Alligator mississippiensis: one gene and its partners. The protein of the gene in region 1 interacts with the protein of each later gene in a biochemical or structural test. Links are inferred from orthologs where the notes say so. Each region holds a gene or a part of one and is shown on either strand. Other genes may lie near its edges.

Region 1 (6,946 bases):
AGGGCCTCATCCTACTCGGTCAAGGAGTATTGCAGCTAACCCTCATGGCTACAGTGCCAATTGCTACCACACTTAAAGATATTCTTTGACTCTGTTTCACAGTTGTTAGGGGCTGGAAGAGATCTTACAGATCATCAGGTCCAGCCCCGCCTGCACGTGAGCAGGAAAGCCTGCTGGGATCAGACCCCAGCAAGATGGGCATCAAGTGTTGTTACCAACCTGTGGTTTTGTCACTGAACTTACTCCTTTGCATGCTCAATCACAATTCATCACATAGGAAAGGGAAAGAAAGATCTAGATTCCACAGATTTGCTGATGCTGCATTAAACAGCACTCTCATATTTGTGCTGGATCTGATCAAAGCTACTTTTCAAACACAACTCAAGTATTTCCAAAGAATATATTTTTCCAATTTTTTCTTTTCTCACAAAAGGACCAGTTCAATTTCTGGTGTGCTCTTAAATATGAAAAGAGGACATCAGGTATCAATAAAAGATACATTTTTCCAGTGGTTCCACCCACCCTACCCACCTTTTTCTTTCTAAATGTGGGATCAGGGCTTGAATCCTTTATTTCAACCTAGCACAAATTGGAATTACTGAGTTAGAAGCCTCTCAGAAATAGTGTTAGTAATAGGAATATCTGCAGATCTTTAACTTTAATTGTAGTGGGCCCTCATATAACAACTACCAATTTATTAGGCTGAAGGTAGTTTAATGGCATATGAAAAACGTAATGTTTTACAATCTGAAAAAAATCAGGTTTGGGGACATATTCAGGATTTCAGGCTTTAGGCCAACCAGAGTTGGCTGTTTTTCAAAAATAATATGCCAGGTACAATGATCTTACAATATGTAGCGCTTGCAAACCTATTACAACCTTGTTAATTAATCCATAGAGCAAAACGGACATCATATCCAAAAAGAGCCATCTGCCTACCCTTTTCCAAAGGCATGGGGAGCATCTAATAAGAAATGAATACATTTTAAAAATAGTGAGCACTTAATGAAACATTCCAAAGCAGTAACAATTGAGACATTTTTGTTAAAATTATAAAAGCTATATTAATCAATGAAAGAAACCCGTAAAGTGATACATTTATAATATCAATAGTTTGCTTTTTAAAGTCTTGTAAATATGCATGGTAGTTTTTTATGTACAAGATGTGATGGGGGAGACATTTCTCCCTGTAACAGGGAGCTGGAGGCTCCTGTTACTTTTAAGGGGAAAGGGCAGCAAACCAGGCCTACTGTGGCAGCTGAGCAAAGGCCGGCTGCTAGAAAGCAAGCAACTCAGAGGCAACAGGGATAAAAGCTGCAACTGGGAGTGCGTATCCTGGAGCTAGGCAGAAAAAGGGGCAGAACTCTAGGCAGCCGGGAGACAGTAAGGGGGAGCATGACTTGCTGTGGGGTAATGACCCAAAATTGGGTGCAAGTTTTGGTTTGAAGCAGATGCTTATGTTTCGACCAGAGATTTGGACTGTGACTATGGGAGTGGTCTGAAGGTCATAGGAGTTCTGAGTCAGGCCCAGGGCATAAGTCCCTGTAAGGAGCAGGGACCCAAGGGTGGATGAGAGAGAAAGAGCAGCATCATTTCATGCTGGGAACAGAGGTTGAGACAGGGCCAGGATTATTGCCCCTAAAGCACATTGTTCCCTAAGGCAAGGATACAGCTAGGAGTGCCACCATTTAGTGTCTGAGGTGCAAGACAACTACCAGTTGGGCGCAAGTAGTACTAGGGTTCTCGTTAAACAGCAAGCTGAAATGAACTGAGGGTCACTCTAAAACCATGGGACAGCCTTCCTAAGTGCCATAATATCCATCAAGGTATAGCAGAAAAAGGAAGGGTACTCTGAGGGGCTGGACTGGGGCAGGAGTAGTTTGCCCACTGCGGGCATCACAGTCATCCTTGGGGCTGGTGATATCACATTCCCTTCCCTTTGCCCTCCCCCCTCACCCCATCCCAGACCAGAAAAATTGTAACGCTAGCTACTTCGAAAAGTTTTACATCTAAAGATCTTCCAAACCTTAACAGGCTAAATTAATTACTTCCAAATCAGGTGGTGTGAAGGTAAATCTATATATAACTGGACATGGCGCAGTGTAGTGATATCTAAATGAGCTAGCTCAGCTAGCAAATGCAGGACAGCCATAGCAGCCTACTACTCCCTGCAAGTAAAACTAGCTTTTGTGGGCCTTGATGCGACTGTTCCCATTATCTGAACTAGCTGGAGTACCTCCACATGCCACTGCAGAACTTACTCTAAGTATCATTAGCCCAGAGAGGGAAACTGAAACAGTTTTAAGGGACAGTTTTGAAACCTTACTGGTGACTCCATTGGAGGGGTACTAATTCTTGCTTAGTAGGAATAAAGATTGTCAAATCAAGGCCTCAGTGGTTTATACCTTCTTTTGCTTCTCTCACCACTACTTGGGTGCACAGCTGGAAGTAAAGGGCCATAGCTGGAAATAAAGCTTTACATTTCTTCATTTCTACTTTAAGTTCTCTACGAGAAAGAGCAGTAGAATAAAAACCTCTTTTATCCATCTCAATTAGCAGTTATAACCCCTCAATACCTCTAGGGGAGATCAGCTTGTTTCCTTTGATGCATCTTAGATGCAGGCCATAACAAACATTTAGATAGTCCAGCAGCATCACCAGTACATATATACCATCCTTTGCTTGTTTGAGGTTTGTATTGGGTTTGTGTTTTTTAAATCATTGGTGATGTTGCTTGCTTATTTGTTTTTCTTAGTCACTTCCTCTGTCCCCACATTTTGTGTGTGTTGATCAATTGTTTTCCTCCTTTGAAAATATATTTAAAAGATTTGTTTGGTGTTTGACTTGTGTCTCCTTTTCAAAAGACAGGATGTCTAAATGAAACAAAAACAGTTGCTGAAATGGATCAGGATCCAGTCTATTGGTTTGTCCGCCCCCTGTGCTCAGATGAATAAGGACAGAAAGATATGGATTTTCTTGAAGAGGTCACGAAACTAGCGGAGATGCTAGTGAAGACGTGCTTTCTGAACTGGACTGGAAAATGGCTCGCTGAGGAACTTCTATTTTGATTGCACGTTGAGGCTTCTTTTCATTGATGAACTTATTAATTGGTTTGGAACTGTTACTTTTACTGAGGGATGCAGTGACCTCTGCTGTTCCAAGTGTGCCTGGAAATTGATTACATAAAGATATATAAAGTAGCAAATTGCCCTTTTTATTAGATATAAAGTGCAGAGAAAAGGCCTAAAATTATAAAAGAAAAATATGTGAAAGCGTAGCGCACACTTGCACAGCAGAAGGAGCTGCCACTGAACGTGCAAGGCTTACCAAGTCTCAGGGAGGAGGCGTGGGTTTCCACAGACGCCTCCTGTTGCCACAGCGATTCCGTGGGCCATAATCTGTGGCCCAAGAGGTGATGACACAAATAACACCCTGTTTTCTATCACGGGACACACTGAAGTGCTTCAGAAACTGGACTTCACTTCGCTCCCAACTCCAAGCATGCGCTCCAGACAGGGAACCGAAGTGATGTGCCTGCAGCAAAGCCATGCAGAGCTGAAAGCAGAAGCCAGGAGTCCCCAGACACCAAGGCTGCCCTCTTTTTGAGATCCTTGCCCCCAAAACCCTCCTAGAGCTGCGAGCAGGAGCCCCAGGGCCCAGCAGGCCCACGGCCCTGAGGCCATCCAGCCCCGGTTACTAAGTAGATTAGCTACGTTCCCCCATCCCCTTTTCCTATTGGCTGCAGGTGTTCGCTTGCCTCCTCCTTTTTTTTCATTGGTTGCATGGCCCCTGCCGGCCAGGTAACGGATGCGGGCTTTTGATTGGTCAGACGCGGGCGGGATCCCTCTTGGGATTGGCTCCAGGTGGGCCGGCGCTTGCTATTGGCCGGCAGGTAGCGTGGGAGGCGCTCTATTGGCTGTTGTGGGCGCTAACCTGCTGGGTCCGCCATGTTTGGAGTAGTGGCGCCGGTGCCGCCGCAGTCGCGGAGCGGGGGGCGCTGAGCCGAGCCGAGCCAAGCCGAGGTGGGAGCGGGGCGGCGCGGGGCTGCGCGGGGCAGCGGGGCTCGGCCGCCGCTGTCTCAGCCGGCCGGGCCGGGGTTGCGGGGGTCGCCCCCAACTTCCTCACGGGACTTCGGGCAACTTCCAACGCGGGGCGGGGCGGGGCGGGGCGGGGTGCGGGGCGGGCTTGCCCGGGAAGGGCCGGGAGCCGCCGCCGCAGCAGGTAGGCGGGCAGGGGCGAGAACAACTGCAGCCCCTTCCTGGATACAGGGACCCCCCCTCCCCCCCCCCCCGAAAAACAAACACCCCCGCGCTGCCCCGAAACCTTCCGTGGGCAGAAGGGCTAGGGGCCAGAATAAACCACGTGGCCCAGACTCCGGTGGGAAACAGCAGCCCCCTGTGAGACTCCAAATACACCCCTGTAACTGCCACCGCTCCCAGGGGTAGGAGCCAACTGGGGTAACGGGGTCTTCCCCAATCTGGGTGGGGCTGGTCCTGCTGGGGGTGTGAGTGTTTGGGGGGGTGGACGAGCTGTGACCTCCCGGGGTCCCTCCCACGCTCCGTGTCTGTCGTTCTGGGAAGTGTCCATCTACGTGTCCATCCCCGAGCTGCCCCAGCGTGCCTCCGATTTACCTCCCTCCCTCGCTGCAGGTGGAACTAGCCTTGGTTTCCGATACAGCAGTGTTTTTCATGTGTGCAAGCTGCTTTGGACGTGGAAAAGTGAAATGTTGTGTGACTAAGAAGAGAAAACCTAGGAAAGAGACTTGTAAATAAGGGGATCTGATCCTTGCCATTAGTCTTTTAAGAAAAGATTGTCTTTGCAGTGTGTTTTATTTGTGATTAAAGGGCTGAAAGTTTAATTAGGAAATGGTTAAAAAAAAAACCCCCAAAACGCCCTTGTCAGACACGGCTTTGTTTTGTCCATGCAGTTGCTGGATGAATGTTTTAATTGGTGGAAACAGGAATCTTTTGAGGCCTGATCTTCTGGAAACCAGAATAATCGTGTAAAATAAAATGTAACTAGCCTGATTAAGTTTTACTACCAGTAACTTATTTCATAGTCATTCCTCTGCGGGACAAAGGGCCCTATGGATGTAAACAGTCCAACTGCTTTCTCAGGTGTATTGTTTAAAGCAGCGGCTCCCAATTTTTTTTTACTGCGACCTTAAACCCAGGTCATGACCCCTGCTCTCACCGCCAACTCACTTGTGCCCGACGGCGCCAGTAGAGCCCAGGCCGGGCCAAGATTGTGGGGGGGTAGCGGTGGTGAGAGCCGTATGGACCATGTACCGAGAGAGCCCTGCAGGCAGGAGGGGCAGAGCAAGGCGTGGACCCTCTATGACCCTGGTTTACGTCTTGCCCTGAGGTTGGGAGCCACTGGTTTAAAGTGACTGGGGTTTCCAGGATTTGGCTCTGCACATGTAAATTTATGTTGTATTTCAACAATTCTTTGTGTGTGTATGTGCATTTATATGCTGCTTTTCTTTTCTGTGTGCAGATGGACAGGGTATCAGCTGGAAATTATACCTGCTCATTAGAATTCAGCACAAGATCAGTTGTCTTTTTTGAATGATTTGAAAGATTCTTCCATACACTGGCAAAATATTTTTATTTAGACTGCTATCAGTATCATGCCTAGCAGAATGGGATCAAAAATGAATCTGAACAGAGACTTCATCAGAGTAAAAACACATTATAATGGGTAAGTTGAACAGTTTTTCAGCACTACATCGCATGTGGTTTCAGTTTGCACTAACAGAATGCACTGTAGTCTTACTTGATTATAGAGTTGTAGAAATCTATGATACTACAGGTACTAACAAATCATTCCAGGTACAAAGTTTGTAGACTTTCTTGGGTGTTAAAATAAACTTAAATCAGTTGCTACTTTATTGTTTATGGTGGAGTTCTACTTCCATTTAGGCATCTAAATGGCAGTTTTCCAGCTACATAAATAATGTTTTTCACATGCAGTTCATAATTGTGTTTTCTTTTACAGTGAGTGTTTGTAGTTCTAGACTGAGAGTTGCAGTAGGTTATACTGGCCAGATGTGCTTTTTCCAGGACTTATGAATTATATCACAAGGGGCTTTCTTATGTTTTAGCCCTCATAGCTGAGTGGTAGGGGCATTTACTCCAGCTTCTTGAGACTCGTGTTCTAGACCCCATTTGCCCAGAGAAGGTTTGATCCTCCACCTTTCTTACTGCCCAGTTATACTGCTGTAACCACTATGCCACTAGGCTCTTTAATGTTCCTTTAAAAGCTGAGCCACTGCCCCTTGCTTTTAATAGTCATGAAGTAAAATGGATGGAGAGCAGTTTTATGTTGTGGGGAGGTTTCTGCCCCATTGGGAGCAAGGTGCTTCCTTCCTTGTGTCAGTAATCTGAAAGCTGAAATGCACACAAGTTTGCTTTCTTCCTCCTGGCCCCACACACATCCCCGTTGGCTGCCCAGAGGGCTAGCTTCAGAGGTATTCTAGAGAAGACACTCAGTATTATGTGCCCTTAACAGTCCAGGCACTGTGCTGGGAAGTCGGAGAGATGCAGATTCAAACCCTTGAGCTGAAACACAAAAGGGCCACCCTCCTCTTCCTTGCTTTTTCTGGGATTTATTCTCGTGTAGGCATGTGTACCCAGGAAGCATGTAGCCTACTGTGCATGTTCATTCTGCTTGTGTATCTATACTGCAGGGAAAATAAAATTGAAAAATGTGTATAAGTGGCAAAACTGTTACCTGTGTGACTGGAAAACTATTATTTAGATGCACCAAGGGAAGTGAAATGCTGTCCCTGGTCTCTAAAAACTAGTGAGAGAGAAGTTTCTGGTTTGTTCTTTTTTACTTGCTGCTGCTTGGTTTTGTTTCAAAACTGATTCAGAATGGTGTGTGTTTAGAAACAGATGTACTATATCTAGGTGTATTTGCTGATCCAGTTCAACCCTTTCTGAGA
Region 2 (6,839 bases), on another chromosome or scaffold:
ATTTTGTGAATCATGTTTGCACACCTAATATTGCCAGAGGCACCCTTTAAAAGGGTCTCAAGGCACTACACTGTGCCACCGCATCCTGGTTGAGAATCATGGCGGCGTGTGGGTGTGTATCACATATATATGCAGGGGTGGATGGGGAGGGAAAGATGGGTTGCGCTGGTGCACTTGCACCCCGCTTTGATTCCTGCTGCACCCAAACTTTAAAACCACCTGCCTGTCTGACAATGGCAGCAGCATTTCTAGTCAGGCAGTCCTAACAGTCACTTGACTTCCTGGCTCATTGTAATGTACCTGATCCCTTCTAAACTCTTCATTCCACAGGTGTTAAGAACCCTCCCTTCTTTTTTAATGGCCCTGATGTTCCACCAATCAAGCTAGCCTTTGTTCTGCCATTGTGCTGTCTGTTTGCTGCTCTTGGTCATGAAGTTTCTACTCTACAGAGCTGCAGATAGTATTTAATTCATTCCAATTAAGTTCTGTTGGTTTTTGTTTCAAGCTTAAACAGCATCATACAGCCTTAGGCCCCTGGTGGATCAATAAAGCTTCTAGTTTCTGTTTAACTGGAGAAAAATGTGTCTCGTTTTATGCGTGATGATGCACTCACTGGGGGCACCCCCCTTTTCAAAATTCTAAAGCAGTGGTTTTCAGCCTTTTTTTTTCCATTTGTGAACTCTTAACAAATTTTGAATGGAGATGCAGACCCCTCTGAATGATAAGTGTGAACATGTACATCCTTTTGGTTGATTACAGACATCTTTTGTGGACTCCCTAAACATAGTCTGCCACCCCCCCCCCCACAGGGCTCCATGGACCACAGGTTGAAAACTACTGCTCTAGACCCACCTCTGTGTGTGTGTGTGTGTGTGTGTGTGTGTGTGTGTGTGTGTGTGTGTGTGCGCATATACATGTGCATGCATGCACAGATACATACATGTGTGTATACATGCATGTCTAGACATGTGAACATGTGTATATTTGTAAAGGGGGTCACAATTTTGCCCTTTATTACTACAAGTAAGAGGAACCTAGAGTCCACTAAAATTTAATCAGGCTACAACTACACCAAATATAAAGATAAAACAAGAGAAACAGATAATGGAACTGTGCATGTAGATGTGCATACATACATGTGTGTATACAGACGTGTACTGATCTTAGCTGGGGCTGGTCCCGCCTGGAGCAGCGGGTAGGTCTAGATCAGAGTTTCTCAACCCATGGGTTGTGACCTAAAAGTGGGTTGCAAGAATATATGAACGGTTCCCGAACAAACTTTAAAAACGGATTTTCCTTTAAAGGAGAAAAACATGGGAAACTGGGGCTTTTCCCTTGCAGGCTGACAGAGTTCCAGCCTGCAAAGGGCTGCTTGTGCCCCCTATGCCCCATGCACGGGGACTGGGGGCGGGGGAACGGCAGGTTGGGAATGAAGGGCACTGGGTTGGGATTGGCTATGGATGTTTACAACTGGATCTTGGTACAAAAGAGGTAGAGCACCAGTGGACTAGTCACCCTCCTGAGGGTCCTTCCCACCTTCCTTTTCTACGCTAGTAGCTACATCTGCACGCAGGTGCTACTGCTGCTCCATCAATAGCTGAACACAAGAGATCACTCTTTAAAACACCCACGTCCTAGCACTATACAGGCAGTCCTCTGCTTAAGAAGTTTCGAGTTGCAATGAATGGCACTTAGGACGTTTATAAATTGACACCCTGTTTTGACTTTCTGATGTTAGTTTCGACTTTACGACGCTTCATCCGATGCCACACCACACCAGCGAGCGTTTGCTGCATTGCTTATCTCCCTGGAGAACATCTGTCCAAACTTCCTTGAGCACTTTCTTTAAGAAAGCAGACAAGACTCCAGAAAAACCTGCAGTCAAGACTTGTGAGAAGACTCCAGCCAAAAACCCTTCAAAAAGTCTGGCAAAGTCACCTCAAAGAAGTCCTTCCAAATCAATATGATTGCTATGTACCATATAAATACATTAATGTAGCTATATTACTCATCTATAATTGATAGAGTACAAAATTCTGCGTTACTTTTGGTGAAAATAGGGTATCAGGCCTTGGTTCAGGAACCAATCCCCCCATGAACGCTGCATGCCCCGGAGGCTGGGGGTGCCTGGCGACTGCCTGCTGGCAGTGGCAACAATGTCAGTGGCAGGAAGGAGCACCTGCAGATGCCACTGGCAGCCTTGGCAGCAGCCAGCAGCAATCGGGAACCGCCTGCAGATGCCCCGGTGGTGTTGGCAGCAAGGGGGGAGGGTGGTGAGCAGCGACAGCCTGCAAGTGCCGCTGGCAGCATCCGCGGCACTTTTTGCAGAGGGTGCACTGCCATGCTCAGGGGGTGCACATGCACCTGCGTGCCCCACCCTTACACGTCACCAACGTATAACATTGTTCCTACGGGAAAATCGGTCCCGACTTACGACGTTTCCATTTAAGACGCAGCTTTCGGGAACCAACCGTGCCCTAATTCCGAGGACCTTCTGCAGTAAGTGCCTGGGCGTCGTGACCATCCTGGTCACTCCGATGGAAACCAGGATGGAAACACGACAGGGCATCTGTCACAACAACTGCCCTGAACAAGGAACAACAGCGACACCGACAAGAGCCACGACAAGTCCTGGCAGCGACCCCGCCCCCGGCCCCCGAGCGCCGCTGCCCCGGCCAGGTGCGGGCGGAGCGCGGGGAACCCGGAAGGCCGCGTCCTTCGCCCGCCGCGGGGCCGGCACCTGCCTCCTGGGGGGCTGGCGCGGGGCCGGGGCCGGGGCCGGGGCCGCGCTGGCACACACGCACGCACACACGCTTGCACACGCCGTGGCGGGGGGGCCGCCTCGACGGCGGGACAGACTGACAGACAGACAGACCGCACCGTACCGCGGCCGCCGGGGCTCGCTCGGGGCTCCTGCAGCATCCAGCGGCGCGGTCCCGCCACGCCCGGGCTACGCGCAGGGGGCTCCCGGCGCCGCCGCTGCCCAGGTAGCAGCGGCAGCAGCAGCAGCAGCGCCCGGGCCGCGGCTTCCTGCTCCCGCGGCTGCAGCGCGTCCGCCCGCGGCCGTGGGCGGGTGTCACGGGAGGGTGGGGCCGCCGCCCGCTCCCAACCAGGAAGCGGCAGCCGCGCGCGGGCGGCGGGATTGGGGGCACAGCTGGAGCCCCCCCGGCTCCGGCAGAGTTGGGGTTGCTATAGCTGAGGGATTGCAGCCCCTCCCCTCCCCACAGGGGACTTCCCACCTCTCCCGCAAACAGGTGAGCCCCCCCTCACTGCTTTGCAGTCTGCAAATGCCTTGCCAGGCGGGCACCGAGTTGTTTTGTTCCCCCGGCACCTGCTTCTTGCCCCCGCGTGGGAACAGACCTGACAGGAGGGTCCCATTACACTTCCAGCCTTTGTGCGGGCGGAGAAGAATTTGGAAATCTGAATTGGGAATGGTTAAATGCCAACCCCCCCCCTTACTTCCTTTTCACATGCTCTAGGTTGGCAGTCCTGTCTGTCCGCCTCGCATGTGTTTCTGCTGTATGCAGCAAATGAGGTTCTTTCTGAATTGCAGCTGTGAAAAAAAAGCAAGGTGACACTCCTTTGGCTGTGGTTTTTTTGGGGGGGGGTTGTTTTTTGGGGGTTTTTTTTCCCCTGCTTTGGGTGTCTTTTTTCCTCTTGGTTTTATCCTTATCAGATGGAGGCTTAGGGCAGCTGACCAGCCCACCAGGTCCATCGTTTTTAGTGGCGCACATGCACAGATCACTATCAATCTTGTTTAACAGAACAAGTACTAATGCTTCTGTGAAAATACATCTTATCACTGTGGTCCTGCTGAAGAACTAGGTCAACTCATTCTCCTTTACCAATTACATGACTTCTATGATATACACATGCGCGCGCACGCACACACACACAGGTGCACATGTTTAGGGAGGGGAGAAGGAGTTTTATAAAGCTTTCTGAATTGGACTGAACCCCGTCCTCTCAGTGATGAGATATGTGCTTGCGCATTTTCACCGAAGCCAAGACTACTCATTGTGAGTGAATAATAGGAGTAAAGGGAGTCACAATTTTGCCTTTTATTACTACAAGTAAAAGGAACCTAGAGTATGCTAAAAATTAATCAGACTACAACCAAATATGAAGATAAAACAGAGAACCAGACAATAGAGCTGTGAGGAAGTAGGGGAGGAATTAAAAAATGGGAAGTGTCATAAGCATTAATAGTTTAAAATCCTGGGCATTTTATATTTAGATCACGCATGGTGCATCCACACACGTGCTTTACTGAAGAGTTGACTACTTAGTTCCACACTAAAGCACCACAGTCTACATGTGTGCCAGTATTGGCACAGTAAACTAATTAACTCTGCTGTAGGATAATACTATCCCTGACAGTACTATACAGTGGCAGTGTACTTTACTGTGCTGAAATGCATGTAAACAGTGACAGCGGGTATAAATTGCCCCTTGTCAGGGTCAGCCCAGCCAGCCAGGGGCCTGCTTTGCCCCAGCTCAAATTGCTGCTGTCCTGGGAGCATGTGTAGACACTGCGCCCAGGAGCAGTTCACTCTGGCTTGAAGTGCTCCAGAGTTTTATTGGTCACATTAATTGCATGTGTAGATGCACCCAAAGAATACTACTTTGACTAAAGGGAAAAAAAACCCAACACTAGACTCCTGTTCCAATATTATGAGTGTATAAAAAAATGTTGATAAGGGGTTTGGCAGGCCACAATCTTGCAAAAACTTATGTATGCGTTTACCTTTTTATGGTAGGGTGATATTGTAGCCATGTGTCCAGGACAAATATGAGAAGTAAAGTTTTTTGTGGGTGATATCTTTATTGGACAAACTAGGGATATAGTTGGGAGGGATATAAACAGGTTTTGGGTACCAAGTGCCCTTCCTCAGGGTGCTGAGGAAAAAGCAGACACAGAAAAAGCAGATACAATCGGTCCAATAAAAGATATCACCCACAACAATCCTTTCCTCTTTACTACTTTATACTTTGTAAAACAAACAAACTTTGTTTATCAACTTTAAAAAGTAACAGTGCATTGAATGTTCATTTTGGATGCTCATCTCCACTCTCCATAGGTTTCTAGATTCTTTAACAAACAAACAAAAAAGTTGTGTAAGTGGGCTTAAGCAAAACTGGATCCAAATATCAGCAACCTGCTGCCTCAGAAATCACAATATTCAAAAACAACCCACAGGAAATAAAATCTGGTCCCAATTCTGCAAATATTCATGCTTCTGTGCAATTTTGTGCTTGAGTAAACTCACTGAACTCGGTGAGGTCATTTGTAGGATAAGTTGTAGAAGAACATGCATATTTGCTGTATCAGGGCCTCAGAAGGAAAAACATGTAAAGTGAGTTCCACATGCCTAGGAATGAGAAGTCAGAATGATGCTATAAACCAGCTTTCAGGTAAGAGAGATTTATTTTGCTGAAGGTGATTATCATCACTCTGAGTTGTAAAACCATGCCATATTCAGTAACAACACTCTTATGTACCTCTCTTGCACTTTATAGCCTAGATACCTTTCTCCTTCTTTCAGTGTTTTTCATTTTTTTATGACTGATTTAAAAAAAATGTTTAGGACCTCATTCTTGAATGACTAAATAGGTAGTTCCCTTAGCATCCCAGATTTAGTCCCCTGAGGAAAGCATCTCAGCTGAGTGTTTGCAGGACTGAGTCCACATATTGTAATAAGGCCTCTTACAGTCTTATCACACAATAATATATAATAACCATTATATTATCAGAATCATATTTAACTTATTATAATACATAATTATTTTAACTAACAATATTGCCAATCCTCCAAGGTCTCCATCTAAAAAGAATGCACCCGTGTTCAGCAGCCATCTCTGTTCTGTGTCTGGTCGGTCTGCAAAGCAAGATTCATTTCCTCATTTATTTCCTCTCGTTGTATGTAAAATAGTATCAAAAATAGCATTAAGCCTTTCAAATACTATTTGTTCCCTAAGCTTAGTATCCTTAATTAACTGTATAGTAAAGACACTCCAACCCAGTACAAAGTGTTCCATTGTGCAAATCCAAGAAAGGAGAGATTGGAATGGAAAGAGAGTGGCATTTGCAAATAAAGTACTAAAATGTACTAAAATTGAAAGTGTAATAACAATACTAAGAAAGAGTTGACCTGGTTCTTCAGCAGGACCATAGTGATAAGATTTATTTGGCAAATAATAACTCAGATATGTGTCTCATCATGACTAATTACATATCATAAAAACTCAAAGAATGATTTAATTAAAATTCACAGAGATGCTACTGATTATAGACCAAAGAATAGTCTCTCATCTTAAAGTAATTGAGGGGCCAGGAGGAGGGAAAGACTTGATGACTATCACTCAGTGAATGTCTGTCAATGCAAAATCAAGGACATAAAGCTGCACTTACAAAGAAAACCACATAGGCCAAATTTGATTTCGTGTAAGCTTTGCCCTGTGATAATTTTACTGACTTACAATGGCAATGCTTCTGATTCACATGGTTATGTATAAAGATATTGACCATTGTTCAGTTGTAGTGCTACAAAATGGCTTGGCACTTTGTAGCACTGCAAAAATGCACAGGTGTTCCAAGCCACTGGCTGGAGAGCTATGAAGGCCAGCTCTCCAGCAAGGGGTTGATAAACCCCTGTTTTGCTCTCCCTGCCCCCTGGGTAGCCCAACTGTTAACAGCCTGTCCACTTCTGTGCTTAGAAAGGTGGTGAGCAGTGCATGATCAGCATTTCCAGACACCCCCTCCCCGCACCCCCTCCCTTACAGGGATGGTAGGGGCAGTAAAGAACTGCTGTCTTCACCTCTGCCACCCCAATAGTACA
Region 3 (7,381 bases), on another chromosome or scaffold:
TCTTTGGAAACTTTGAAAAGCTGGCCAAGAAACTGTCTTCACCTTCCACTGCAGTTGTATGGCCTTCACCTATCTAACTTGTGAGAAGACTGAGGATCTTGTCTGACTCCTTGCTCTCACGTTGAACCTATAACCTTACCCTTGTTACTTGTTCCCCAGAGTAAGTCAGGCCCTGACACTGATCCTCAGCCTGTGGGGCTGGGCCTTCAGGGATGGATGGAGCTGGCTCTGTCCATTAGGAGAGAGAGGTAGGTAGCCTGAAGTCAGGCAGAAGGCAAGGTAGATTTGCATCTCATAAACTAACTCAGAGATGTACAGTATAAGCTATGCATGTAAAGGAGGTGGCCCATGGAACAGACATGGCATACAGAGGCACATCATCCACCCCCAGTACTGCCCCTGGGTCTGGAGTTGATTCACAAAGCTCACATGGCATGCACCAGATCAGCCCTGCACCACACAGGGTGCCAGTTCTACCTGGCCTGGCACCTGCACTGCATGTGGGCCTGCCTTAGCCAGTCCAGGCCATGCAACATACATGGCACCTGCTCTGGCCAGTCTAGGACATGCACAGTGCCTACCCCAGCCAGCCTGGGACACACACGGCACACAGCACCCACTCCAGCCATTCTGGGACCTGCGCTGTACGTAGCACCCCCTGGCTACTCCAGTGTAGGCACCACAAGCAGCATGAGCCCCAGACTGGCAGGAGTTCAATAAGAACAGGTGCAAACTCCTGCACTTAGGACAGAACAAGTCAATGCACGACTACAGACTGGGGACCAACTGGCTAAGGAGCAGCTCTGCAGAACAGGACCTGGGGGTTACAGTGGACAATAAGCTGAATATGAGCCAACATTGTGCGAAGGAGGCTAACAGCATACTGGCCTGCGTTAGTAAGAGTATTGCCAGCAGATGGAGGGAAGTGATTACAGGCAGTTCTCCGACTTAGGACACAATTGGTTCCTGAAAGCCACAGCTTAAATTGAAACGTTGTAACTTGGAACCAATTTTCTCATAAGAAACAATGTTATAAATGGGGGATTGGTTCCTGAACCAAAGCTCGATACCCTATTTTCACCAAAAATACCCCAGAATTGTGTACTTGATCAACTATAGATGAGTCATATAGCTACATGAATGCATTTATATTGTAAATAGCAATCATATTGATTTGGAAGGACTTCTTTGAGGTGACTTTCCTGGACTTTTTGAAGGGCTCTCGGTTGGACTTTTTGAAGTGCTCTTGGCTGGAGTCTTCTCAGGAGTCTTGGCTCCAGGTTTTTCTGGAGTCTTGTCTGCTTTCTTAAAGAAACTGTCCAAGGCAGTTTGGACAGATGTTCTCCAGGGAGACAGATGACACAGTGAACTTGTTCGCTGGTGTGTCGTCACATCGGATCAAGCATTGTAAAATCAAAACTTACATCAGAAAGTTGAAACATGGTGTCAATTTATAAACGTTGTAAGTGTGAAACATTGTAACTTGCAATGTTGTAAGCCGAGGACTGCCTGTAGTCCACTCTATTTGGCACTGGTGAGGCCACATCTGGAGTACTGTGTCCAGTTGTGGGCCCCTTACTACAGAAAAGATGTGGACAAATTCAAGAGCAGAGGGCAACAAAAACGGTGAGGGGGCTGGGGGACATGGCTTATGAGGAGAGGCTGAGGGAACTGGGCTTATTGAGTCTAGAGAAGAAAGACGGAGGAAGCAACCACAACGAGCGGTGGCAGCAGTGGCAGCCCCAGCATGGGCTCCAGGTCCTGCTTTTCTCACCACTGCTGCTGCCACTGCTCCTCATCATGGCCAGGGTGGGCAGGTCTGGTCTGGAGCAGGTACTGCAGGGAACCTGAACCCTCACACAGGCTGGGGCCGGGGCTGGGGCCAGGGCCAAGACAGTGCACTTGGATCTGGGGCTCAGGCCCTGCCTGTGCTGGCCTCCATGGGGCCAGGGCTGCCAACAGCAGCTGGAAGGAGCCACTGCTGCCGCTGCCAAATCTGCACCCAGCCACTACCACCGAAGCCAGGCATCAGCTCCAGTCACTCCACTGGGCAGAAGGGCAGTGCTGGTGGCAGTAGTAGGGTGACCACCTGCCCCTAATTGGGCAGGACAGTCCCAGAATGGGAACCTCAAGTCCTGGTCCCAGGCTGTCCCAGATTCACAGCATCATGCAGGGATCCACAGGAAATGGCGTATTTCCCTGCAGGCTGGCAGCATTCCAGCCTGCGAGGGGCTGCTTGGGGCTGCTGGGAGCAGGATGCAGGTGGTGCCACATGCATGTGTATGCCCACACACATGGCTGGGAAATACAGCTGGGAAGCATGGAAAGCAGCTCCCTGCAGGTAAGTCAGGGAGGGTTTATGGGGAGGAGAGAAGGTATGGAGGGATGGGGTGTAGATCGAGGCCTCCGTGGTGAGGAAGCGAGTGGGATGGGGCTGGGGGCACTGCCCAGCTAGGGCAGTGCATAGAGTAGGACACAGCCACGGGCAGCTCATCCAGGGGGCACAGGGCATGGGAGGGGGGCAGCTCCCCACTGCTACATGCTGTTCTGGGGGGGGGAGAGCATGGGAGGCACGTGCCTCCCAGATGTGTGTGCAGGGCAGGGGTGGATACAGGCTGCCTGCTGTAAGCTTGTGGCTGCCTGTCCTGCTGTCCTCCCCACAGGGAGACCCCACCGCCATGGCAACACTCCCCCCAGGCAGCAGTGGGGATGGCAGAGGTGTGGAGTTGGATCCCTTGCTGCTGCTGGACAAGCAGGGGGGGTATGGCTGGCATGGGGCTCCTGAGAGGGCAGCAGGGCTGCCCGGAGCCCACAGCACACAACCTGTATCTGCCCCCCTGCTCCATTTTGCTCTGCTCTGGCTCTGCCACCAGCGAGGAGGTGGAGGGGAAGGTGGGAATGTGCCCTGCCTTTGCATTTTAAAAACATGGTCCCTCTAGGTGGTGGGGGTCTAGACACAGAGGCGACAGTCAGTGGTGGCTCCTTCTTGCTGCCATTGCTTCTGGCTCCATGGACACTAGTACAGGCTGAGCCTGAGCCCTGGGCTGAGTGTGCCACCCTGGCCACGGCGTGCCGTGTGTGGGGTTCGGGGTCCCTGCAGCGCTCTCCCTGGACCTGCCCACTCTGGCCCCAATGAACAGCAGTGGCGGCAACCATAAAATGTAAGACCTGGAGCTCGTGCCAGTGGGACCCACTGCCCTGCAGCTCCTCCCCATCACTGCTGCAGCCACCAGCGCCACCTCTGGGCCACGCCAGGCTCCTGCACTCAGTGGGGTGAAGGCGCAGGGCAGCCCTGGCACCTATACCAGCTCCCTGCCCACCTGCAGCCCCATTCCACATAGGGAGGTTTGGGGAGCAATTGTGTGTGTGTGTGGGGGGGGGGGGTGACCCAGCCCACAACAGAGTTTTAGGGAGCTATATGGCCCATGGGCCCAAATATTTGCCTACCCAGGCTAGGCTGTCCTCAGTGATGGCAGATGACAGAACAAGGAGCACCAGAGTCAAGCTGCAGCAAGGGAAGTTTAGGTTAGATATTAGGGAAAATGTCCTTACTAGGAGGGCAGTAAAGCACTGAAGCAGGTTACCCAGACAGCTGGTGAGATCTCCATCCCAGGAGGTTTTTAAGACCCAGGTAGACACCGCATTGGCTGAAATGATCTAGTTGGGAAAGCCCTGATGTGAACAGGGGGTTAAACTACGGTTCACCCTCATTTTCGATGATACCAGTGGGCGCCGTAGGCAGCTCGTGTCACACCAGCCCTGCCCGGGCACCGCATGTGGCACCGTCCCAGACAGGCTGGAGATGGCACCACAGCGGGGCACGTCCGCGGGCTGCATCGGGGCTGGCTACTGCCACGCATCCTGCCCGGGAACAGCACTCACCCAGCCCCGCGGAAAAGCCGGGCTCCCGAACTGGCTGCAAGTGGGGGCTGCGGGCCGCAACCGCACCGCCCCCTGGGGGGCCGCTCCCATCCCAGTGAGCACGGCCCCAACCCCGTGTCGGTGGCCAGGCTGCGGGGCCCTCGGGGAGGGGGGCGCAACGCGGATCCTGGGCAGGCCCCGCACGGGGTGGGGGGGGGGGCGACCCCGCCCTGCCGCAGCCCGGCCGAGCCGCCCCCCGCAGCGCAACGCAGCGCGCACCCTCGCAGCCCGCAGAGGGAGGGAGTGGGCGGGCCGGGACGGAGGTCGCTCGCGGCTGCGCGCGCCGGTGCCGGCGGCAGTTGGTGTGGCCGCTCCCCACCCCCCCCGTGGGGGCGTCGGAGGGGAGCGGGGCGGGGCGGGTACAGGCGCGCGTGCGCACGCGCTCCCTCGCTGTTGCCATGGCCCCGCTTGACGTCACGAGCAGTGCGTTGCGGCGCGGTGATTGGCGGAGCCCCCGTGTGTGGCGCTGGGAGCGAGGCTGCAGCGAGCGAGCCGCGATACAGGCACAGTCCGCGCCGCCGCCCGCCCGCACCGCGCCCGCCCGCCCCCGGCCTCCTGCCGCAGGTAACGGGCCTGCGCCCCCCCCCCCCACCGCTTCCCCTGGGGCGGCCCAGGCGGGGAGCAGCGCCCCCCACCCTCCAGCGGGCGGCTCCCCGGGTCGGGTCCAGTTGCTGAGGCGGGAGCTGCTCCGCGGCGTGGCGGGTGGGGGTTCGCTGCGCTGCGCTGCGGGGACCCGGCGGGTGGGGGCCGGGGCCGGGTGGGGGCAGGTGAGGCGAGGCAGCGCCGCGCCCTTGCCTGGCGAAGGGGGGGCTGTGGCCGGGCGGCCCCGCCCTGCAGCGGTGGGGCCGGGCCGGGGAGCGGCTTCCCGTGGGCCGGGCGGGGCGGAGGTGAGGGGGATGGAGGCGCCGGCAGGCTGAGCTGGGCGCGGCGCGGCGCCGCCATGACAAAGGAGCCGGGCGCGGCGCTTCGCCTCTCGCAACCGGGCGGATGCGGGAAGGGAAGGGCCAGGCCCGGCTCGGCTGCAGGCTCGCCCCCGCGCCGCTGCGGAGAGCGCGGCCAGCACCATTTTATGCCGGCGGGCGGGGCCGTGGCGGGGCGGTGGCAGCCCCCTCCCCCGTCAGAGCCGAGCGCCACGGGCCCTGCCCTGCCCTGCCCTGCCCTGCGCTGCCGCACGGCTCCGGGCGCAGCGGCGGCATCCGCTGCCTCCCTTGCTCCCACCCGCCCCGCGTGAAACCCGGCCCCAAAATGGCTTCTTCCCACCCTTCTCCCTGCGCGGGCAAGGCCGCGGCGCCGCGGGCTCCGCGCACCCGCCTCCGCCCAGCCCCGCAGTCGGGAAAGAGGCTCGTGAGAATCGGTAATACACGAGCCCGAGGGCAGGACTGAAGGGAGTGTGTTGCTCAGGTGGATACGAAGGTCTCGAGGAACCTCCCAGTATATTTTTAGGCTTTAAAAATAAATGAAGGCACTAGTCACTAGGGGTTGATGAAATAGGGTGGGGGGAAGGGGTCAACCTCTGATCTTTCCTGACATGAAAAAGAGTCAGGTTGGCTCCCAAGTGCTGAAAAGCCCCCCTGGGGTGCAGATCCCTAAGGAGACCTGAGGAAGGATGACTTGCTTTTAAAAGCTTGTCCAGCGTTATCCCAGCTGCCTCACTGGTGCAAGAAAAGACAGTCACCCTAAGAAATATTTTATCCCTAGGTTGTCATTTTAGCCAGCAAAAGATGTTTCTGATGTGTTAGGCTGGATTTTAGTGGGGCTGTACAGATAGAGGTAATACTAACTTTGTCCACCAAGCCTTCACTACTGAGGCTGAGGAGCACAACTTGGATGAGAAGCTCATCCCACTGATCCTCTAGGGAAAGAGTTAACATTCCTAAAAGGGCAGGATCCTTAGTGCGAATGAAACCCCTACATTCAAAGTAGTTAACAACCTTTAAAAAAAAAAAACAACCTTTAGAGCTTTATAACATGAGAGTGAAGGCTTTTCCTCCGGCCTTTTTGTTTGGCCCTCTGAGCAGCACAAAATTGCTTTCCCCAGGTCTTTAATCATTGGCATGATGAAATGGACAAACTTCAGCTTTCTCCCAAGCCACATCATGAAGAGAACTAGGACTGATTGAGGGAGAGGAAACGATCAGAATTATGTACAGCACAGAAAAGGTGTGCCTTCAGCATTCGGAAAGTTATCTCTGCAACAATAAAGACTAGAAACATCAATTAATAGTCTGAATTTTTAGAAACAAGCAAATCAAAGTCTTCAAGTCATGACAAAAAACATTGAGAAATCCTAAAAGCTGACAATCGGGAATATTACAACTTAACTACTCTAGAGAAATCTTGCTTTAGATATGAGGCTAAAAATGTCTTTGTCCTTGATAAATGTTTGAATAATGCCTTCCTATTTTTCCTTCTCAGAAAAATCAGCATGGATAAAAATGAGCTGGTGCAGAAGGCCAAACTGGCTGAGCAGGCTGAGAGATATGATGACATGGCAAGCTGCATGAAGTCTGTGACTGAGCAAGGAGCTGAGTTGTCCAATGAGGAGAGGAATCTTCTCTCTGTTGCTTACAAAAATGTTGTAGGAGCCCGTAGGTCATCTTGGAGAGTAGTCTCAAGTATTGAACAAAAAACGGAAGGTGCTGAGAAAAAGCAGCAGATGGCCCGAGAATACAGAGAGAAAATTGAGACTGAGCTAAGGGACATCTGCAATGATGTGCTGGTGAGAACTAACAAAACTGTTAAACTGTTGATTTAATATTGCAGGGTAAATGATATTAACCCCATTAAACTGACATTTAATCTAAACTGAAAATTGAGGCCTGTGATATCAAGTCTTTAATCTTTTTCTATACCAGTTAAAAAAAACAAACTAAGACAAGTGGGTGACTTTTTCCTCTTCCCCTTAATGAATTTGGTAATTAGTTCTCATGGACATCTACTAACATTGTCAAATCTTAAATATAAATAAACTCTGAAAATTCATAGGTTGCTTTATTGTAGGATGTATATTTGTGAATAAGCAAATATGGGTTCATTCACAGATAATGACTGTGTTCATAAAAGCTTTGGGCGTGGTTTCTCCAAGAACCGTGTTGTCCACAACTTAGTTCGTTTCTGGCATCTTAATATACTGTGCTGCTTGTAAGAGGTAATTCACACTATGGAAATTGTGCCCCTCCCTGGTTTAGATGATGTAATGTTAGTTATGACTCAGCCATGCAGAAAATCCTCTGCAGGAGGAGGCAGTGGCAGTACTGCTGATTCCCTCTTGCAGTTAATAGTTCTTTAGTGGTAAACTATAGTAAAGGTAGCCTGAGAGTTAAACTAGTCTTGTGGCTTACAGAACATACTGTGGCTTGTTGAATGATAATTGAAAAATGCTTGGGTTTTAAACTAATTGGGGGATGGGAGGGAGTCAAAGGGGAGGGCGGGACTTTTCAAGTATGCAATAGTACACTCC
Region 4 (6,873 bases), on another chromosome or scaffold:
TCATATTATTTTTGCAGTTGAACATAAAAATTACTTTCCTTTACTCTTATTAGATAAGCTGCACTACAACAAAATGGAAGAGAAAAGCTCCAAGGAAGGCAAGGTTGTTTAAGAAGATGGGTATTCAAAGAAGAAAAAATGCTTAAAAAGGTGGGCTGCAGAAGAGAAAGGGGTTACCTGCTAATTGAGAACTAAAGCACTTCATAAAACATGAACAGCAGAGCATCCCCATTTTACAAGGGGAAAAGCACAGTACACTTCCCACCTATATGCTAGATGCATTGCTGACTATTTCCTTTTTAGATTAGAACTACACTAAATTACACTCTTTTGAGAAATGTTAGTCACATGCTTTACTACAGAAAGACTAATGCTGACTACTCTTGCCCTGCAGCATCCCAATGCTATCTTTATGTGATAACTTGCTGCAGCAGTAATCCAATGAGCTACAAACAGCCACACCATATTTTATGAGAACACTGAAACTAGTTCAGCACCATATTAGATGGGAGGGCAGGAGTGGGGAGAGGAACCTCACAGTACAGGTTTCCCTTGCTTTATGCTGTACATGTGTTCCTGGAAAACGGCACATAACTCAAATTCACGTAAAGGGAACCCACTTTACAATGCAATAAATAGGGATATGTTCCAAAACCTCAACTGTACTGACCATTTCTACCACTTTTACAAGACAATTTTGGTACTCGCCAACAGCAGGCAGTACACACAAGTACATGGCACTACCATAATGGGGATGACAACTACAGAAATAAGTGTTGCAGACAATGAGCAAAGAGCACAGATCCACACAGTAGACTACATTTTGGTGCATGTCACTCCCACAACGCGCTGCGCAAAGCAGCATAAGAGTGAACAGACCTCACATATAACAAATTTTTGGTATAAAAAGGGTCATCCCATAAGAGAAAATTTGCACATACAGAACCCATATAAAGCAAGGAAACCTGTATGCTGGTTTGTTGCCCACTACCATACACAAAGATAAAAGTCTCTACAACTGATACTGTAATCACTTTGCATTTCAAAAGAATGAGATTTGATGTGCCCAGTGAAACAAGTACAACTGCAAATATTCTTTGGTTCTAAAAAGTTCTTCATCCTTCTGAAAATATCCATTCTATAGCATCTCACTTGAACTGTACTGCCAGCAAGTGCATGCTGTGGTCTGAAACAGGCTTCTGCTCACATACATACATTAGTTGTGATTTTGGTTAAGTTCTCCAGTGTAAATTAGGACACAGCAAAACTGTTCATTAGAGGATCTCTCTGTTTCCAGCAAAGGAATACAAACATTCCTGCAAAAATGTGCTTAAGCAAGACGCTTTGCTTCTTTACATCCCTTGCAACAGAGACAAGCAGATCCAGTGACAGACCCTGACACCCACTGACATATGGATCTGTACAGAGCTTAAGATGTTCTCATCACTCACTAGCAACTTACGCCTCTTCCAAAACACCAAAAGGGCATGCATATAACATCTTTGATAACATTCAGTTTTGTTCTCATTCAAACAGGACATCTGTATCTGGGAACTGGTGGCCTGAAACACCAAGCTGATTCATACACATTAGGGCTGATGAAAGAGGGGTTTTTATTTTTAGACAAAACAAAACAAAAAAAGGTGCATCTCCAATTACATTAAATGAAAATATAGAAGTGGAAAAAGGTTATGAGCAACTATATCTATAGACATGCTTAAAATAGCACTTTTCATTTTAATCACCCAAGAGCTGTTACACCAATGGACTCTTATCTACACAGGTTTTCTGAAACTGTCACGTTATTAGTACAACCTATGACAGAAGCTGCTGATACCTTTACTATCTACACCGCCACGTCACGGAGCCTTCAAATATATCTATGCCCTGATCACAGTTAACATCAGGAAAGATGGAAGCGGTAAAAATAGGCAGGGCGCAGATTGTTACAAACTAAACAGCACGCTGGTAAAAATGCCTATACCAAGCCTGCATTGCAGCTTCCACAAATGAAAGAAAACAAGTTCCCGAGTGCAGGCACACTCGCATTTGCTGAGAGGGGGGGGGAAAAAAGTGCTTTTTAGATCAAGTTACCCAATTGTATTTGGCTAATATGGCTTGACACACCCTTTCATAACACAGATAAACACCTTTACAATGCTGAGTTCCAACACCGTCAGCGAGCAAGATATTAGGCGGGACTGAATCTTGGTCGATGCCTGAAAAATGCTGTTCAAATATATCTGTTGCTTAGGGGCACGGGAAAGCAACAAAATCAACCCGTTCCTCAGACCAACATCGCTATCGATGCCAGGAAAAGAGAAGAAAAAAGAAATCGAGCATGCGAACGCAGCCCTGCACCGTGACTTATTCAGCTGCGGCTCTACCTGCAGGGGGAGGTCTGCCGGCACGGCAACCGCTCCCCTCGTCCATGTCGCCCCCAGCGTAAGGGGTATTTTTTATCATTGTCTCTCTCCTCCCCCACTTTTTTCCTTGGGACCTGGTCAGGGTTCCTGCCTCAGGCAAGGGCTCGGACTAGAGGTCCCCTCCCGCCCCCAGACTCCCTTATTCCCCGACAGAGGAGAGGAAAGCAGGGCAGGGCAGGGCAGGGCAGGGCAGGGCGCGCTCCCCCCCCCGGCCGCCGCCGCCGCCGCCGCCCCCCGACCTGCGGCCGCTAATCTCCGCTCATCTCCCACGTCAGAGCCGCAGCTCGGGGCGACACGGAGCGGAGCCCTCGCGCGGACAACCGCCGCCGGGCCGGGCCGCGAGTGACCCCGGGCCCGGCAGGTGAGTCAGCAGCGGGACCCACCTTGCTCTTCACCTCCATGGTGCCGAGGCCGCGGCTGCCCCCGACGCCGCGCTGGGCCCGGTTCATGCCGCAGGCGGTCGGAGCCTCCTCCTGGGAGGGGAGGGGGGACGCGGTCAGCCCGTCCTCCGGCCCGGCCGCCCCTCTGCGCGGGGAGGAGCCACCCGCGGGCCTGGCACCTGCCGCGCCGAGGGGGGAGGGGCGGAGCGCTCCGCGCATGCGCAACGGGCCGGCGGTTCGGCGCACCTGCGGCGGCCGCGCATGCGCACCCGCTGCCCGGCGGAGGAGGGGGCGGGAAACGCGGCTCGGCGCACCTGCACCTGCTGGGCCACGTTCCAACATGGCCGGCGCATGCGCGGTGGGTGCTGCGGGGGCGGGAATATGGTGTGGGGTTGTGTGGGCCCAATGCACTCAAGTCTCTAGGCTGAAAGGGGCGCAGGGCAGGCAGGGTATGTCTCATGTGCGTCTGACAAGGGACTATGGCCAAGGGATTAGGAGCCAGGACAGGCTTCCCCACAGCCAAGTCAGGCAGGGTGGGGAGCCAGTTCTTGTCACGCCTCTACATTAGGGTGGCCATCATAGAGGACGTTCCGTTTTTCTGCTACTCTGTTGATACGAAACCCGATGCCTTTATGCCCTCTATTTTTCATCATAGAGGACGTAAAGGAGTCCGGTTTTGTATCGACAGGACAACCGGACTGTCCTCTATGATGGCTGCCCCACCCTACATGCACCAGGCAGGGTTCTTTGAGTAGATGTGATGTTCATAGATTGGAAGGGGCTGGAAGGGACCTTACAGATCATTGGGTCCAGCCCCCTCCCCTACTCTAGGCAGGAAGACAAATGTGGTGAAGTGACCCCAGCGTGGTGACGGTCTAATAAAAGATATTAGACCAACTTAGCAGTTGGCAAGAACACCTACATGCACCTGCCTCCCACAGGCCAACCCGCTGCTCCCAGGCACCTGCGGGAGCAGAGGGGGAGACAGCCCGCCCCACCTGCCAGGCATCTCATGGACCGGCAAACTGCAAATGCCTGTGCACAGGGCTGCACCTGTTCAGTTCAAATCAAATGACATTTGAGCATTGATCTGAGCAGTAGCCATGTCAATCTGAGCACAAAAGGCAGGTGAAGTCTTTGGGTAGAGGCGATATCTTTTATTAGACCAACTAAATAGTTGCAAAAATGTTATTTGCAAGCTTTTTGGCAACTGCTTAGTTGGTCTAATAGAAGATATCACCTCTACCCAAAGACTTTGCCTGCCATCTCAGCACTGAGACCCCAGTCGGGACAGTGCTTCTGCTGGCAGGCTTTTAAAATTCATTCTAGTTGTAGAGGTGTTACTGTTTCTCACTAAATTTCTCATTTTTAGTACATGGACTGTCACTGGATTTGGCAATATTTATCACCCTGAGTGAACTTTCAAAGCATACTCGTGTATTGGTTGAACTCAGATATACACGGCTAGTCTACTCTTAAAATTTGTGTTTGCCACTAGAATCATCTAGCAAATCCCCCTAGTGGAGACACTTTATAGAATAGAGCTTTTTCAAAAATTAATTAACTAAGCTATACAAAAGGATTTTTTTCCTTTAGAAAAGGAGGGGAAAAAAGGTCACATCTATAATTAGTATAGTTCCGCAGGTGAAACTTTTAAATCGTACACCAGATTTTAAATTTAAACATCTATTTTGCATGGCATCATATCAACTTCCAAATCTGTGTGCCACGGTCTGGTGTGATTGCTTAATGTGTGGACTCCGTCTGCCCTGTCTGGGCTTTTGTAAAGATTGCAGCTTTCAAATAAGTGCTGTGTCATTTGTCGGACACCACATTCACGCAGGGGGCATCCAGAATGCTTATCTTGTAAAGTGTTGTTTTGAACCATCTGTATCCAGATCAGGCTGTTCACCTTGCCCCACAATTCTCTGTCAAGGTCGTGCCCAATAGGGGACGTACTTGGTGTTGGTATAAACTGCTGTAGGAATAGGTGTGATCTTTCGCAGTGGTCATCCCATTCCGTTACTGCCTATAGGTTAGGTTCAGCATCCCCAATCTCTTCAGGGAGCTTATGGGCTTCATGTGTAAACAGTTAATGATTTAAACATAAACTAAGCTAAATCCAATAGAAGAGTATCCACACACAGAATTACACCATTTTAACAAAATAACTTTAAAATCACATTTTAAGGTAAACTGGTGCCATGTAGTGTGTAAAGCAGGCCAAAGGCCAACTGTGAGGCAGAGAAATTGTACCTCTCACCCAAACAAGACAAGACCTGATTAGTGCAGAGGGTATAGTTCAGTGTTAAAATGTTTTGTTATAGATCAATAGATGCTTAGTTCAAGTCTACACATCCCTGCTTCTATTTGATAAAGAAAATAGTGAAGTGACATATTTGATCTTATCCATACCTAACACTGGATTCTCCTGTAACACGGACATACTTGGAAATCAGTGGAATTATAGCCATGTCAGCAAAGATGAACTAATTAATTTGTCATTTCACAGTCGCCAAAACTGAGAGAAAGAAGTGGCTTCTCTCTGTCTCTATCCAGTTCTGCTCTTGTTTATAAGTGACCAGCTTTGCTGTCCTGGGCACTTGGAAGATGCAGAGGCCAGTGGAGGAGACAAAAGAGGCGCACAGCTTTTTCAAGGGTTAGCATTGCAATTGACTTACCTTTATTCTGAGGTGGAAACCCCTCCAGGAAGTTCTGTGCACTTAAAACTGTAAAGAAGCTGATGTTATCATTACAGATTTATTAGGTTTCCTCTAAGAATGCGTCTCACATTCCTAGAGTTGTTGAAGTGCCATACAACTGGGTGTGGCCTCGTGCTTGCAAGAGTCAGAGCAAATTCATCTCGAGTCACTGGAACCAACCTAATAAAAAGTATTAATCACTAGCTATCTTGCATTACAGTGAGCTGATATTGCGTAAGAAAGGAATGTGATGAACAATTTGGTTTCAGATAAAGGTAAGGGGAGGGGAAGCTGCCTGTGCCAGGCATAGTGCAGAACTGCAGGGCTATTTTAGTTCCAAGTTCGATAAACATGTGATTAAGAGTTAAGCTATTCACTGCCCCTCAAAGAAAATAATGTTCTGTGTCCATCAGCCTGTTCAGAACTCAAAGGGGAGCTGGGTATTTTTGTTTAAGGTTTCTTAATTATTTTGTGGTAATTGACAGCCTCCCACCCTCATTGCATCATTAAGAGCAGAACCCCCACACAGCTTGTATTCCCTATGACAAGTCTTTTTTCCATCTGATTCATTCCTGTTTTTTTTAATGGAGTGGTATTCCATCTATCTTGCCCAGTACCCGAAAGGTTTCCTCAGGGGATAAAATTCAGACTGAAGGAGAAAGCAGAAGGTTTGCATTAATATTTAATTCATTCTTATTTTTAAATTTGGCTCAAACTCCCAGGACTACCGTACGAAAAATAAGCAAAAGGATCTGTAACTCCATAGTTGTTTGGACGCTTCCAAGAGAAGGGGGAAACCTGGGTTCTGGTCCCTGCTGTTAACAATGTCTTCTATCTAGTAGTGCTTTAATGCAAAATACATAAGTAGGCCCTGGAACAAGGATGAGAACCCAGGTGTCCCACCCCACCTTTCTTCCCTCATTCAAAACAGTGCCTTTGTCACTGAGCTAGGGAGTCATGCTAGCTTTTACTCATTCTCTCTGGCTCTGTGAATCTTGCAGTTCTTATAGCTTCATCAGGAGTCATGTGAGTTTCCCTTTCCCAGATGATTTTATAAACCATTAGTATAGAGCACTCTTCTAGGAGGAAGATATATAGGGTTCTGACCCCCCCTCAAGCTGAGGAGGGCCTAGAACCAATGTCTTCCATTTCCAGAGTAAGCGCTCTAGCTACTTGGCTGTTATATAAGTGGTGGGTGCTAGCACCACCACTTGATTTTGAATGGAAGTGGCTGTAGATGGTAAATCTATGCATGGATTAGGTAAATCTTGGATTGACCATGTAGATATTAATGGAAGTTCTGTCCACTTTTGGTAAGTGAAGAAAAATATCAGTGATAGTTTAATGGAAAAGAGAAAGATGGTT

The links.
Region 2: of the proteins of PRKCZ (region 1) and MBP, one has a biochemical effect on the other in vitro, tested with the Homo sapiens proteins (2 studies listed by BioGRID). The link is inferred for Alligator mississippiensis from reciprocal best matches to the Homo sapiens genes PRKCZ and MBP.
Region 3: the proteins of PRKCZ (region 1) and YWHAZ form a complex in vitro, tested with the Homo sapiens proteins (2 studies listed by BioGRID, with this or other methods). The link is inferred for Alligator mississippiensis from reciprocal best matches to the Homo sapiens genes PRKCZ and YWHAZ.
Region 4: the proteins of PRKCZ (region 1) and PARD6B form a complex in vitro, tested with the Homo sapiens proteins (2 studies listed by BioGRID). The link is inferred for Alligator mississippiensis from reciprocal best matches to the Homo sapiens genes PRKCZ and PARD6B.

Annotation. Positions count from the first base shown.
Region 1 is NC_081836.1:13,357,596-13,364,541, forward strand, and holds the start of PRKCZ (protein kinase C zeta type), read left to right. Parts: upstream 1-3,933; 5' UTR 3,934-4,022; intron 4,023-4,200; exon of another isoform or gene 4,201-4,221; intron 4,222-5,496; 5' UTR 5,497-5,629; coding exon 5,630-5,700; intron 5,701-6,946. UniProt on the Homo sapiens protein: Calcium- and diacylglycerol-independent serine/threonine-protein kinase that functions in phosphatidylinositol 3-kinase (PI3K) pathway and mitogen-activated protein (MAP) kinase cascade, and is involved in NF-kappa-B activation, mitogenic signaling, cell proliferation, cell polarity, inflammatory response and maintenance of long-term potentiation (LTP).
Region 2 is NC_081826.1:110,529,060-110,535,898, forward strand, and holds the start of MBP (myelin basic protein), read right to left. Parts: upstream 3,024-6,839; 5' UTR 2,886-3,023; intron 1-2,885. UniProt on the Homo sapiens protein: The classic group of MBP isoforms (isoform 4-isoform 14) are with PLP the most abundant protein components of the myelin membrane in the CNS. They have a role in both its formation and stabilization.
Region 3 is NC_081826.1:38,282,978-38,290,358, forward strand, and holds the start of YWHAZ (14-3-3 protein zeta/delta), read left to right. Parts: upstream 1-4,374; 5' UTR 4,375-4,485; intron 4,486-6,336; 5' UTR 6,337-6,346; coding exon 6,347-6,640; intron 6,641-7,381.
Region 4 is NC_081832.1:12,816,334-12,823,206, forward strand, and holds the start of PARD6B (partitioning defective 6 homolog beta), read right to left. Parts: upstream 3,006-6,873; 5' UTR 2,876-3,005; coding exon 2,810-2,875; intron 1-2,809. UniProt on the Homo sapiens protein: Adapter protein involved in asymmetrical cell division and cell polarization processes. Probably involved in formation of epithelial tight junctions.